Linked DNA regions of Stegostoma tigrinum. The protein of the gene in region 1 binds, or shares a complex with, the protein of each later gene. Links are inferred from orthologs where the notes say so. Each region holds a gene or a part of one and is shown on either strand. Other genes may lie near its edges.

Evidence for each region. Proteins that work in one complex are often made in the same cells at the same time.
Region 2: the proteins of zdhhc9 (region 1) and golga7 are in contact, whole or in part, in a cryo-EM structure (PDB 8HF3), measured with the Homo sapiens proteins. The link is inferred for Stegostoma tigrinum from reciprocal best matches to the Homo sapiens genes ZDHHC9 and GOLGA7. Residues at the interface, in NP_001008223.1 of Homo sapiens: Phe78, Ala81, Arg85, Ile94, Pro95, Leu98, Asp100, Glu101, Phe104, Ile105, Phe129, Gln130, Ile131, Asn132, Ile146, Pro149, Pro150, Arg182, Tyr183, Leu186, Tyr274, Lys281, Cys284, Glu285, Leu287, Cys288, Gly289, Pro290, Leu291, Pro292; in NP_001002296.1 of Homo sapiens: Lys11, Phe13, Gln15, Tyr18, Ser19, Ser20, Gly21, Thr22, Ala57, Glu58, Leu60, Ser64, Tyr65, Gly68, Cys72, Ala75, Tyr76, Thr77, Phe79, Leu80, Tyr86, Glu87, Leu90, Ile116, Arg118, Gly119, Arg121, Val122.

The regions. Positions count from the first base shown.
Region 1 is NC_081368.1:45,030,816-45,037,522, reverse strand, and holds the start of zdhhc9 (palmitoyltransferase ZDHHC9), read left to right. Parts: upstream 1-2,840; 5' UTR 2,841-3,137; coding exon 3,138-3,295; intron 3,296-6,707. UniProt on the Homo sapiens protein: Palmitoyltransferase that catalyzes the addition of palmitate onto various protein substrates, such as ADRB2, GSDMD, HRAS, NRAS and CGAS. The ZDHHC9-GOLGA7 complex is a palmitoyltransferase specific for HRAS and NRAS.
Region 2 is NC_081393.1:13,285,044-13,291,750, reverse strand, and holds the start of golga7 (golgin subfamily A member 7), read right to left. Parts: upstream 4,384-6,707; 5' UTR 4,296-4,383; coding exon 4,287-4,295; intron 1-4,286. UniProt on the Homo sapiens protein: May be involved in protein transport from Golgi to cell surface. The ZDHHC9-GOLGA7 complex is a palmitoyltransferase specific for HRAS and NRAS.

The DNA.
Region 1 (6,707 bases):
ATAGATCAGCTCTGCTGAGACTAAACCAATGCAAACAAGCACTGGGGGAAGTTTGGTGATCTAAAGGGAGGACAGAGTTCATGGTCATAAGTTGTTGAACTCGGTGTTGAGGTCTGAAGGATGTAAAACGTCTAAGCAGAAAATGAAGGGGCAGAAAATTAAGATTGTCAGTCAAGCTTGCAGTGTGGAGCATTTGTGTGAACTGGAACCTTTATTAATTGATGCGGCTCAATACTTTGCAGAAAGGGAGAACATGGACGTGCTCTGTATTATTGCACCTCCATAGATTTGGCAACAGCCATTCACTAGCTCATTTCTCATGGCAATTCCATGTCCAATCAGAATCAGCCTGTCTGATTTGAAATTTAATCAGAGCCATGCTATTAACTATTAGTAGTGTTAATGGGTTTGTTGTCCACAGTAAGGGCTCTAACATCAGAGTCAACTTATCAACAGTTGGTCCTCTCCTATTAATGCTTGTTCTCCAATTGAATATCAATTTTTGCAAAATATCCTGAAAAGTATCAAGATGAAAAGCCTTAACAAAATGTGTCATTTTTCAGCACTACTCAAGTTTGTCTTATAGTTTAATTACGCTACAATGTGAGCACAGGTCCACTTTTTTGGTATATATACCTTGTATAAATGGGAATTGGAGAGAATTTTCTTATAGACTAAAACACATTGATTTATTTTCCTTTCTTCATCTATATTTAGATTTTTCAAAGTGTCTCTGAATAGAAAGAAAACGGCTGCAACTACTCACAATCTTCTGTTTGTCTTTTTGGAAGTTGCTCTAACAGTATTTTGTTCTCTTGCAAGTGTTAAGAACACTGTAACTACTGCATGGAATCTTTGCTCAGAATTTGTGTTAACTACTAATAACTTGCATATGACTCTAGACAATATCATGATCTTATATTTTTGAAATTGAAAGGACATATCATCCTGTTCTTTTAAAATGCTATGAAAAATGGTTAACTTACATGTATGCAAATTATTTAAATCAGACACAGTGTGCAGCTAGAGGATATGTTGAAAATCAATTAAGCTAAACCCAACATTCAGATTAGAGTACTTTTTCTCCAGAGGTGCTATATTAACTGACATTGTGGGGTAAAAGTCCAAGATGATCAAATACTGCTTGAGTTGATGATTCATGACTATTGTGACTATAAAAATGTTGTTCCAAAGAAAGCAACTAGTCTAAGAAACCATATGAATACTCAAATAATTTGATCGCTGGCATTTACTGCATAGCATGGTAGAGATTAGGATCTTTGTTTGTGGAAAATTGTAGGATGAAGTTCAAATCCCACTGAGTCTGCAATTAACAAATCTCAATCACCAAAGTGTTTCCCCATGGTTTCAAGAAAACTGCAACTTTATTAGTTTTGGAAAGTGTGGTAATCCTGGCATTGAAAATTACATAGCAAGCTGGGTCAATGTTCTGGCCACAGCAATGGTAAGGGTCGAAAAAATAATCTTAATTCATTGGCCTTATTTAAATCATGATAATGAACTGTAGGTTTTTAACGGAGTGAGCTTGATCCCCCCAGTTGGATTAAGCGTGGCTAACATTGGCTGATCCAGTTGATAACCAGGTTAACGATAGTTCCTGCATATGAAGAACTTCTCCTCGTACAAAAATAATTCTAAACTTAACCTGTCTTGCCATCTTTGGTTCCATGATTGAAGCTGAAACTGGCTGTTTATATTGTACAGACATCGTTTATTTTCAACGTAAAATGTCAATCAGATTCTTAGTTTAACAAATGAACAATTCAGTTTCACACTAGATTCACTTTAATATTTTTACAGTAACAGGAAAACTAGCGTAGCTAATCACCAAATGCCACAAGCAATATATATCTAATGCGGAAACTGAAATCTATAAGTCGAAACCAGGGAAATGCTCTTTAGTTAACAAGTAGTTATTACAAGGCCATGACTACTAAGAAATATGTTCTGTTGTCTTTTCATGATCTCTTTAAACAAAATCCAGATATCCTTCAAATTCAAGTCCACAAAACATATTTAGTATGAAACCATAAGAATGGAGAAAAATAAAGATTGGATTGTGAGAAAAAAAGATTAAAACTTTAAAAAGACGTTTATATTTGACATTTAAAATATTCAACAATTAAAATCCCAAGAAATGAAGCTCTACAATGCCAAAGTAGTTAATTGACTGTCGTCAACAAGCGTATTGTTAAAAAAAATTCTGATGGCTGTTCCAGCCTTAATTAGATATGCAACCCTGAAATAGCATCACAAAAAAGCAGGCTCCTTACATCACTGGAGAGCAGCTTTAACTTTCTGTGGCGAGTGTCTACTGCGCAAATACCATTCAATGTAGCTCAACGTAGCTCGATGTTTATCTAGACAGAGAGATACTGTTTTCACAAGGATAAGAACAGCCTATTTGACAGATTTCCATGTTGAATCAAAGATCTGTCATTGCCACTAACAGCTGGAGTATTTAAGCATCATTAGGTTTTTTGGGGGATAGGAAATTACTTGGTGCAATTTTTGTGATCTCGAATTCAGACACTGATTTTAAGAGATTTAACACTTCCACTGAACCTATGTAAAAAAATTTCAATCCCAAAAATGGCCTCGATCATCGACTAGTAATTTTTGCAAATATAAATCTCTGTTCTGGTCCCATCCACTGTCGACCTGGTTAAACACGGTGTGGCAGTGACTCACAACAGCCTGTCTGTCTGTCGGCTAAGAATGGTGCGAATGAATGGGTCGCTTCAAGCTGGAGGCGCGCGCACGCCCACGGGAACCAGCAGGTGAGCGGGGGCGCGCACAAGCAGTCTTACAAAGTGGAGCTGGGGAAGGGCGTGGCTGACGGAGCTCTGGCTGAGTCTCTGAGATGGAGCAGCGAATAGAGAGGTAGTGCTGAATTTGCTTGAATATAGGAGCTGGTAGAGGCAGGAAAGGAAGGAACAGGAGGGGAACTGAGGACCGCATACCCGGGGAACAAAGGGAAAGAGCGGTCTGCTGTATTATATACTGACATCGATCTGAAACTTTTTTTAATAAAAAGAAGGCATTATTATATTTGATTGAGTTTTTTTAAAAGAGATTTTTCATTGTAAAGAGTTATCGAAAGGAATTACAAAGCCATGAAGAGCGAGAAAAAGCCAACGCGGAAATGGCAGAAGCTGCCAGGGAGAAACACGTTCTGTTGCGATGGTAGGATCATGATGGCTCGACAGAAAGGAGTTTTTTACCTTACCGTCTTCCTCATCGTAGGAACCAGCGCGTTGTTTTTCGGATTTGAGTGAGTAACAATGACAAGAATGCAGAATTGTTGTGTTTTGAGAGAGGTGTAAGGACCTGGGCTTCTAAAAGTGGCGAAAATCATACCTTAGCAGAGAACCCTTGTGTTTGAGGAGCCGTAAAGCTTTCGCGGTGCAGCTTAGATTTCTATTTAAAACCATTTTTCTGGCGTAGAGCTCGCAACTGATTTACGTGAATTTTAAATCGTGCTGTGATGGATTTAAACATCCTGTGTCCACTACTTCTGTTAGCTACCTGTCAATCTTAGCTGTTTGAATGCGAGTCGCTCTGTGTTGTAGAGAGGAAAATAAAACGAAATCTTGCTGTTAATTGTTTCAAGTTTGAGCTAATTATTCTCTGTAAAATTTCACTTGAGAGCAATGACCTTGACAACTATGGTGTGGTGGGGTTCCTTTTTAAAACGTTTGGATTTGTTTTAGATTCTAAAGTAGTAGTAATTTCGCAAATCATTATTTTGGTCAACGAGAGGCAAGCCTTCAAAAATGACAGTTCTTGTGAATCGGGAATGGAGTCCACCAGGACAGCTCGAGTAATTCTCGTCGTGGTGACGTTCGCGGTGAAATGATGCGTATTAATTTGATTTCCTTCATGCTGTTATATTTGGCTAATGTGAACAAAATAGCCTGCCAAATAATTGCTTTTGCAGCGTTCAATTAATGGTTGGCATACTTTGCTTTTATTTTAAAAAAAAAGTTCCGTCTTTGGATTTTAAAAGTTTCAGAACTACTACGTGGTTAAATACACGGTGGTGCTCTGAAAAGTCCTCGATTTATTTTCCGTTTTTATCTAAGCTAATCTGAAGGTACAAGTGGCTACCTCAGTATTCCTAGCTGTAGAAAAAGGAACATCAGTCAGGTCTTCCTTCCTTTGGCTGCGGCGCAGCCTCTGGGGCGCTGTGCCGAGCTCCCCTTGTCCTCCACAGGCAGAGCAAGTATGTTGGTGTCTCCTTAAGGACCAGAAGGACTTGCCTTTTCATGCGTTAGACACTGGTTTGTTATGCTGGAGGATTGTCTGGTTTTTGCAATTCTACATATCTTGTTCAGGAATTGGAAAAAGGAATAGACTTTTCTCTTAAAATAAACCCCTGTGAATTCAGGCAATAGGGCCCTAAGTTAGACCATTCCCACCCCCAACCCCCATTTTACAATAATCCGATCCTGCTGTATACAAATGCAAGTTGTAAATTTCTTGTTTTAGGTGTTGTTTAAATTTGCAGCATGGGATTATTTTCTAAACAAAAGTCAGTGTATTGTAGAACACTAAAATTGCTTGTCATTAGAAGTGTAAGATAATAGTGTGAAGCTGGATGAACACAGCAGGCCAAGCAGCATCTCAGGAGCACAAAAGCTGACGTTTTGGGCCTAGACCCTTATTCAGAGCTTTATCTCTGTCATTATACGTGTTTCCTGTTTTCAAAAAAAAAAATTTGTGCAGTGCCTTACAAAACATTTTGACTTAAATTGTAGTAAAGTTCAACTGGTCTCCAAACAGTGTTCCATTTGTGTGTACCAATACAATGGTACCAATCTTAATATTGACAACAGGCAACCGTTGTCAGGTATGTGACCTGAGAGCAAAATACTTATTATTGAAAATGACAGCCCAATAGACACAAACTCTTAATGTGTTATACTTCACTTTTTGAGGTACATCAGAACAGTTTCAATACATGGAACAGACATTGTGATTAGAAATGCTTTGCCCTTACATAGTATATTAAGTCTTTCAACCCTGATCTGCTACTATGATTATACCTCATCTATTTGTTTTTACTGCTCATTCCCCTCCCTGATAACCTTTTTAGTCCCTTGCTTGACAAGAATCTATCTTCTGCCTTATAAAACTAATAAATAACCCTATCTATGCTATATTCAGAAGTAGAGTTCCCAAGTTGCATGATGCTCAATTTCTCCTCATCTGACCTGAAAGGACAAATAATTCTTTACTGCGAAATGGACTCACCCAGAAATATGGCTTGAGGTTTGCAGTGACAGAATTAGGGGTGGTGTTCGTTCTTCTTTCTGTAGTTTCCATAGCTTTGGTACTGTGATTTTAGGTTAATATTGATTAAACTAACTTGCATTTGTATGTTTCCTTAAATTCACTTGTCGGCATCCATACACAATATTGTTTAACATTTTTGAATTAAATCCAATGCAAACAAATCCTTGTGAAGCAACACTGCAGTTGTTGATTTCTGCTTTTATCCTTGTTAATCTCAAGGTAAAAGTGGCTACCTTAGTATTCCTGGCTGGAGAAAATGGAACATCAGTCAGGTTTCTCTTTGGCTGCAGTGCAGCCCCTGGGAATTGTGCCGAGCTCCTCTTGTCCTCCACAGGCAGAGCAAGTATCTTGGTGTTCTATGTTCTATGTTTGAATATAGAACATAGGACAGTACAGGCCCTTTGGCCCATGATGTTGTGCTGACCTATTATCCTACTGAAATCAAACTAACCTTCATTTTACTATTATCCATGTGCCTATCCAAGTAAAGCTGCAAAGAATTGAGGCTGTATGTACAGGTAAAATAAACAATAGTAGTATTTGATCTTCCACCTCCTTTTAAGTTATTTTAGAATATTAATAGGACAGTTTATGATCTAAATGGTGTTTTCTTTGGTTCTCAAGATTGACCTTGAATTCAATGTTAACATTATTCTTTACAATAATATTAGCTAGACCCTACCATCAAAACTGTTTTTGCTGTGCTAGAGTCTACTTTCTTATGGCCCTGTTGTACTGAGCTCTATTAGCATCCTGACCTCAATCTGGCCATATCCTCACCCTCCTCTTTGATTCACCACAGCTTGTGGTTGAAATCATGAATATGTCCTCGATAGTTCTGTTTTAATATGTAGCTTCCCTTTTCCACACTCTCTACCTCTAGCTTTTGAATTGGAATTAATCTTTCATGTACTTCTTGAATTTTTAAGTTCCCTCAGTTTTACTGCCTCGTACCAAAAGCCTTATTAAAACCATGAAGTTTGACCATAATTCCTCCTCTGCTTTCATGTGTCATCTGATTTTTCTGTGAAATGTTTTGTTTTACCCCCTGTTTGGAAGTTGCTTTGCAAGTGTAAGTTGTCATTGTTTTGTCCTACTTCTTCTCTTTGCCCTGTTTCCGGGTACCTTGAACCAACACATAGTATAAGCCCTCTGCATTTGTTGTGATGTCTCACATTCAAGGCAGTAGGTGAACTGAGAAAATGTAACTGCTCTTAAGTGTCTTTGTGTGTTGAAAAGTTTTTAAAGGAATCTCTTAAGAGCAGTGTGACGTATTATAAAAAGTTGTTCCTATTTATGTGCTTTATTTTATCAGATTACAAAGATGTTTTTAATTCTAATCGAAATACTTAAGTATTAAGTGCTTGAAATGTGATAATTCACAAATT
Region 2 (6,707 bases), on another chromosome or scaffold:
TTCCACATGGTAGACTATTGGAGAAAATATAGAGACACAGGATTGAGGGAGATTTAGCAGTTTGGATTAGAAACTGGCTTTCTATAAGAAGGCAACGAGTGGTGGTTGATGGAAAATATTCAGCCTGGAGTCAGGTCACAAGTGGTGTGCCTCAAGGATCTGTTGTGGCACCATTGCTCTTTGTCATTTCTATAAATGACTTGGACGCAGGCATAGGTGGATGGGTTAGTAGGTTTGCAGATGACACTAAAGTCGGTGGAGTGGTGAACAGTGTGGAAGAATGTTGCAGGGAGGCTTGGATAACTGCAGAATTGGGCCGAAAGATGGCAAATGGAGTTTAATACGGATAAATGTGAGGTGATTCACTTTGGGAGGAATAAGAAGGCGGCAGAATACCGGGTCAATGGAAAGATTCTTGGTAGTGTGGATATGCAGAGAGATCTTGGTGTCCATGTACATAGATCCCTGAAAGTTGCCACCCAGGTTGATAGCGCTGTTAAGATGGCTTACGGTGTGTTATGTTTTATTGGTAGAGGGATTGAGTTCCGGAACCGTGATGTCATGCTGCAACTGTACAAAACACTAGTGCGGCCTCATTTGGAATACTGCATGCAGTTCTGGTCACCCCATTACAGGAAGGATGTGGAAGCACTGGAGAAGGCACAGAGGAGATTTAGCAGGATGTTGCCTGGTCTGGAGCACAGGCCCTATGAAGAAAGGCTGACAGACTTGGGTCTGTTCTCATTGGAGAGAAGGAGGCTAAGAGGGGATTTAATAGAGACATACAAGATGATCAGAGGATTAGATAGGGTGGACAGTGAGAGCTTTTTTCCAAGGATGATGACTTCAGCTTGTGCAAGGGGAGCATAGCTACAAATTGAGGGGTGATAGATTTGACAGATGTCAGAGGCAGGTTCTTTACTCAGAGTGGTAAGGGCGTGGAACACTCTGCCTGCCAAAGTAGTTAACTCAGCCACATTAGGGGCATTTAAACAGTCCTTGGATAAGCATATGGATAATGATGGGATCGTGTAGGGGGAGGGGCTTAGATCAGTTCACAGATCGGCGCAACATCGAGGGCCGAAGGGCCTGTTGTGCGCTATATTGTTCTATTTTCTACCTCACTTAACTTCCAATCTGCACCTTGCACCCATATAACAGGGGGAAAATAACAAGAACTACCACTAAAACTTAAGCACCATGTCAATTCAGAGAAATGCCACATTCTTGCACATTTGCCACATTTTCAGTAAAAGGTTGCAGCAGTGAATCAGCAAAAAAAAAAGCGTTGACAGAGATAATGGGAACTGCAGATGCTGGAGAATCCGAGATAACAAAGCGTGGAGGTGGATGAACACAGCAGGCCAAGCAGCATCTTAGGAGCACACAAGCTGATGTTTCAGGCCTAGATCCTTCATCAGAAAAGGAGGATGGGGAGAGTGTTCTGAAATAAATAGGGAGAGGGGGAGGCAGATCAAAGATGGATAGAGAAGATAGGTGGAGACAAGACAGACAAGTTAAAGTGGGGGGGGGAGATGGAGCCTGTAGAGTTGAGTATAGGTGTGGGAGGGGATAGGTCAATCCCGGGAGGACGGACTAGTCAAGGGGTCAGGATGAGGTTAGGAGGTAGGGATGGAGGTGCAGCTTCAAGTGGGAGGTGGGGATAGGTGGGAGAAAGAACAGGTTGGGGGGGGGCAGGGACGAGCAGGGCTGGTTTTGGGATGCAGTGGGGGAAGGGGAGATTTTGAAGCTAGTGAAATTCACATTGGTACCACTGGGCTGCAGGGTTCCCAAGCGGAACAGGAGTTGCTGTTCCTGCAACCTTCGGGTGGCATCATTGTGGCACTGCAAGAGTCCCAGGATGGGCATGTCATCTAAGGAATAGGAGGGAGAGTTGAAATGGTTCACAAGTGGGAGCTGCAGTTGTTTATTGCAAACTGAGTGTAGGTGTTCTGCAAAGCAATCCCCAAGCCTCCGCATGGTTTCCCCGATGTAGAGGTAGCCACAATGGGTACAGCGGATGCAGTATACCACATTGGCAGCTGTGCAGGTGAACATCTGCTTGATGTGGAAAGTCTTCTTGGGGCCTAGGATGGGGGTGAGGGAGGAGGAGTGGGGGCAAGTGTAGCACTTCCTGTGGTTGCAGGAGAAAGTGCCAGGTGTGGTGGGGTTGGAGGGGAGTGTGAAGCGGACAAGGGAGTCACGGAGAGAGTGGTTTTCACTAGCTTCAAAATCTCCCCTCCTGCCAGTGCATCCCAAAACCAGCCCAGCACGTCCCTGCCTCCCTAACCCGTTCTTCCTCTCACCTATCCCCTCATCCCACCTCAAGTTGCACCTCCATTTCTTATCTACTAACCTCATCTCGCCCCCTTGACTTGTCCATCCTCCCCGGAATGACCTATCCCCTCCCTACCTGCACTCACCTCTACAGGCTCCACCCCTGCCCCTTTAACTTGTCTGTCTCCTCCCCACCCATCTTCTACTCTGTCCATCTTCGATCCACCTCCCCATCTCTCCCTATTGATTTCAGAACCCTCTCCCCATCCCCCTTTTCTGATTAAGGGTCTAGGCCCGAAACGTCAGCTTGTGTGCTCCTAAGATGCTGCTTGGCCTGCTGTGTTCATTGAGCTCCACACTGTTACCTCTGTAAAGCAAACAAGTTTTCTTTCCCTAAATAAAATGCTCTGAATTAACTATCAGCATCTGGAATCCACTGTGGCCATTGACTGCTAAATGAAGTGTAACCTCAAATCTGATTAATATGTGGAAAACATCATCTACTTTTCCTTTAGGTGCTCCTATTTTTAAAAAGTAAATTCTTGTGATATGACACTCATTCAGCGACATCCTGATAAATACATACAAAACAAGGATGTTACAAATGGGGGGGGCGGGGGGGGGAGAAGGGAGAGAATGAAAGAGGCTGTCAGAAAGTCACTAGATGAGGGATGCAGGCTCCAGGTGAAAACTCTAGAGACGGAGTTTCAAATATCACCATGACAAATGGAGGAATTTGCCTTCAATTTTAAAAACAAAATAAAAAGATCTAGTGTTGAAAACTAGGCTGAGGATTGATGACAAATCAAACATCAAGTATCATTGAAACCCACCCCATTCACAAATGTCACTCAGCATACTAATCTGCCAATCTCACTAAATGTGGTGTGATAATCCCATACCCACAGCAATGTTGTGATCAGAGATAATGGGAACTGCAGATACTGAAGAATCCAAGATAACAAAGTGTGAAGCTGGATGAACACAGCAGGCCAAGCAGCATCTCAGGAGCACAGTGCTCCTGAGATGCCGCTTGGCCTGCTATGTTCATCCAGCTTCACACTTTGCTATCCCACAGCAATGTTGTTGTTTCTGAGCTGCTTTCTGAATGGCCCAGCAAGCCACTCAGTTCAAGAACAATTAGGGGCCAACAACAAATGCTCACCACGAAGAAACACAAAAAGAAGAAGACTTGAGCTTCATTCATGCAACTCCACAGCCGATGAAGGGCTTTCGAAGTGAAGTTATTGCCATGAAATAAGGCCAGCCAATTTACACACAGCAGGCTTCCAAGGTCAGCCATAGGATAACAAACAGCTTGTTTACTTTCAAGGAATACTGTCTGAGAAACAAATATTGGCTAGCTTTCTGGGGACAGCACTCTCTGCTTCTTGAACAAAAATGAGACCAAGGAGTCTGTATATTCACTGGAAAGGGGCAGACCTCTGCCGTACGTCGGGGTTGAATGCTCAAATTGTGATGACTGATTCGATTGGAAACGCACGGCCCTTTCCACAACATCTTCCCCTCAGGAACCCCAACCCTATATCAAATTTTCCCTTCACCCCACCAACCATTCCCCCTTCTTCCACATCCAATCTGGTCCTTTCTCTTAAACCATACCCTCTTCCCCTTCGTCATCCCAACCCCAGAAACCCACTTCGCTCAAACATTCCCCTCCCCGACCCTCCACCACACCCTTTCCCAAAACCCCTTGGAATAAATCGGTGAATCAAGTAAACTGTTACTTCCACGACAGACAGATGAGACACAAATAAACAAAGCGCTTCCTGAAGGGTGCTGGGGCTGGGAGAGTAGAGGCGGACCGGTTTCCGGGAGGCACCAGAGGAGTCGCCAGCCTCCGAGCAGACACAAAATTCGCGGCCACCGCCCATCCCCCAAAGAACCCCTTCTCGGGTTCGGCGAGAGCCACTTTCACCAGCCCCCAGCTCTCAAACCACCCGCCCACAGAATCCGAGAAACCTTTCCACCGAACCACCTCCTCCTACCTCCGCCATCTTGAGCCGCCGCCTGCTTCCGGGTTACTGGCTCCCACGATCCGAGTTCCGCCTGGAACAAAAGGTTCCCCCCCCTCTCAGAGCTTACAGCCTAGTACTACACATGTTTCTTCTGCATTGTTTGATCCTTCATATCATAAACCTCTTCAATGAGCTGGTCATCCTCGTAGTGTCAGTTTATTTTATTTTACATTTTGCATAAGTCGGCAAAATAGTCTGGAAGATGGTTATAACAAAACCCTAAAAAACCTGTGCAGCCCATTTAGAAAATCATAAACCCCATCTTCTTGCAGATTATACCATTGACATTGTTCTCACTTTTTCCTTCAGATTGGTACAAATTGTTCAAACACGTTCACATTCACACGCTTTCCTACACGAGTGGAGGCATACATTTGAATTTTTCTCAGCAGCCCTGAAACAGACCATTAACCCCGACTACCCAGAGGGAACCACTCATGAAAAAAAGTTGCACATTGAGGGGAAACGCTTATTTGTGAAACTGCTTGTTGATGTCTCATCAATATTCAATTTTCTATCTTCTCAAATACACTATATAAGCAAGAGATTGAGAAAATCTGACATGAAAATCAGTATGGGTACCTGGTAGATTTTTCCCTCTGCTTGCTCCGAAGAGGCTCCGGGTTGTTTACATTGGAGTATTAAAAAAAAGTAGCCCATTTGACCCTGGAGCCTTGCTCCGACATTTAATATGATCATTGCTGATTATTCAGGCCAACACCCTAATCCCATGCTTGCCGCTACCATATTCTTTTTGCCACAACAGTTATAGCTACCTCCTTCTTGCAAACATATAGTGTTTTGACATAAACCACTTTCTGTAGTCGTAACTTCCACAGGCTTAACACGCTCATAGTGAAGAAATTTCTCCTCATCTCAATCCTAAAAGGTTTATTCCCTATCCTGTAACTATCAACCCTGGTTCTGGACATTCCCCAAATTGGGGTACATCCCTCCTTCATCTAACCCGTCTTGTCCAATGCTACAGCCAATCTGTATCTCAGGGCATGATCCACGGGCACCATCCACACCCAAACCTTACCCACAACCATATTGGCATCTCACTCTCTGAGACACTGGCAGGCCACACACTTCCATTGCAGGGAGCACTGAAAACTAGCCTTGCAAATCTGCAACAGGAAATTTTTGCGCACAGACAGGCACACAGCTCAACAGTTGGACCAGGCTGCATCTCAGGACTGCTTGCTTGCTCTGAAAGTGTTCCCTTACTTAGCGTCTACCTGCACGCTTGCACCACTATCCCTTTCATTACCTCGTCATGCCACGCTTATTAGACTGCTGGGTGGTCAGCCAGAGCCAAAGGCTGTCAGGACAGCCATACTGAGGTATTCTTGAGCACAGACATGCACACACGCGTGCCTACACACACACACACACACACACACACACACACACACACACACACACACACACACACACAGTTTGTCACATTTAGCAGTCAGAAACTGTCCAGTGAGCCAGGGAGTGGGGGATCTTAGTGAATGGTAAACCAAGAAAACTACAGCTTTCACCAGCTGCAAGCATAGCATTCATATGACACATTTATTTGACCATATGATCCTCAGTTCAGTCAAAGGGGGGGGGGTCACTGTCGGTCAGTCAGTTACTTTAGGGATACAGTCTGCACACACTCAAGGGGCTTGGCCATGGTCAGTCAGCTGCTTGGGACACTCGCAGTCAGGGAATCTGCCCCAGTGTAGTTAGGGAGTGGGTAGCGGTCAGTCCTGCAGTGCCAACACAAGCTGTCAGCATTAATTGCAGACTGTTAGTCAGGGAGCTGCAAGGACTGCACTCAAGAGCCTGGTCAGTCAAAGACCAGGGACTGTTAGTTAAAGTTGGTCAGAGGCCTGAAGCAAATGAAGCCCACGGAGTTCATTCATTCACCATTTGGGAAATCCAAGGGGGCCCTGTTCTGGAAGGGAAGGAATCACTGCCAACAGGAGTGGAGGAATCAAGGCTAGTTTGGGAAAGCAGAGGCACTTACAGTGGTGTGGATGAGGTTGTGATGGGAAGAAACATGAGATGAATCGTAGGGGAGCTGGGAACAGTAAGACATGGCAAGGGAAGATAGCAATAATGGCATCACAAAATGCTAACGCTGCTTGAAGGGAAACTGTGCAAATTCCAAGGGCTCTGCATAATACACAAAATATTGCTTCATCATATGCCATGTAAGTGTAACAATGGTCTGCACTGAACAGTGAAGGTTGAACGTCTGGGATGGAGAGGGGGAGGGTGTCAGAAAATCATAGATTCCCTACAGTGCAGAAAGAGGCCATTCAGGCCAATGGGTCTGCAGTAATCCTCCAAAGAACATTCTGGGGGACAAGGCTTACCCACAGAGACCATGAGTCATGACACCATTGCACA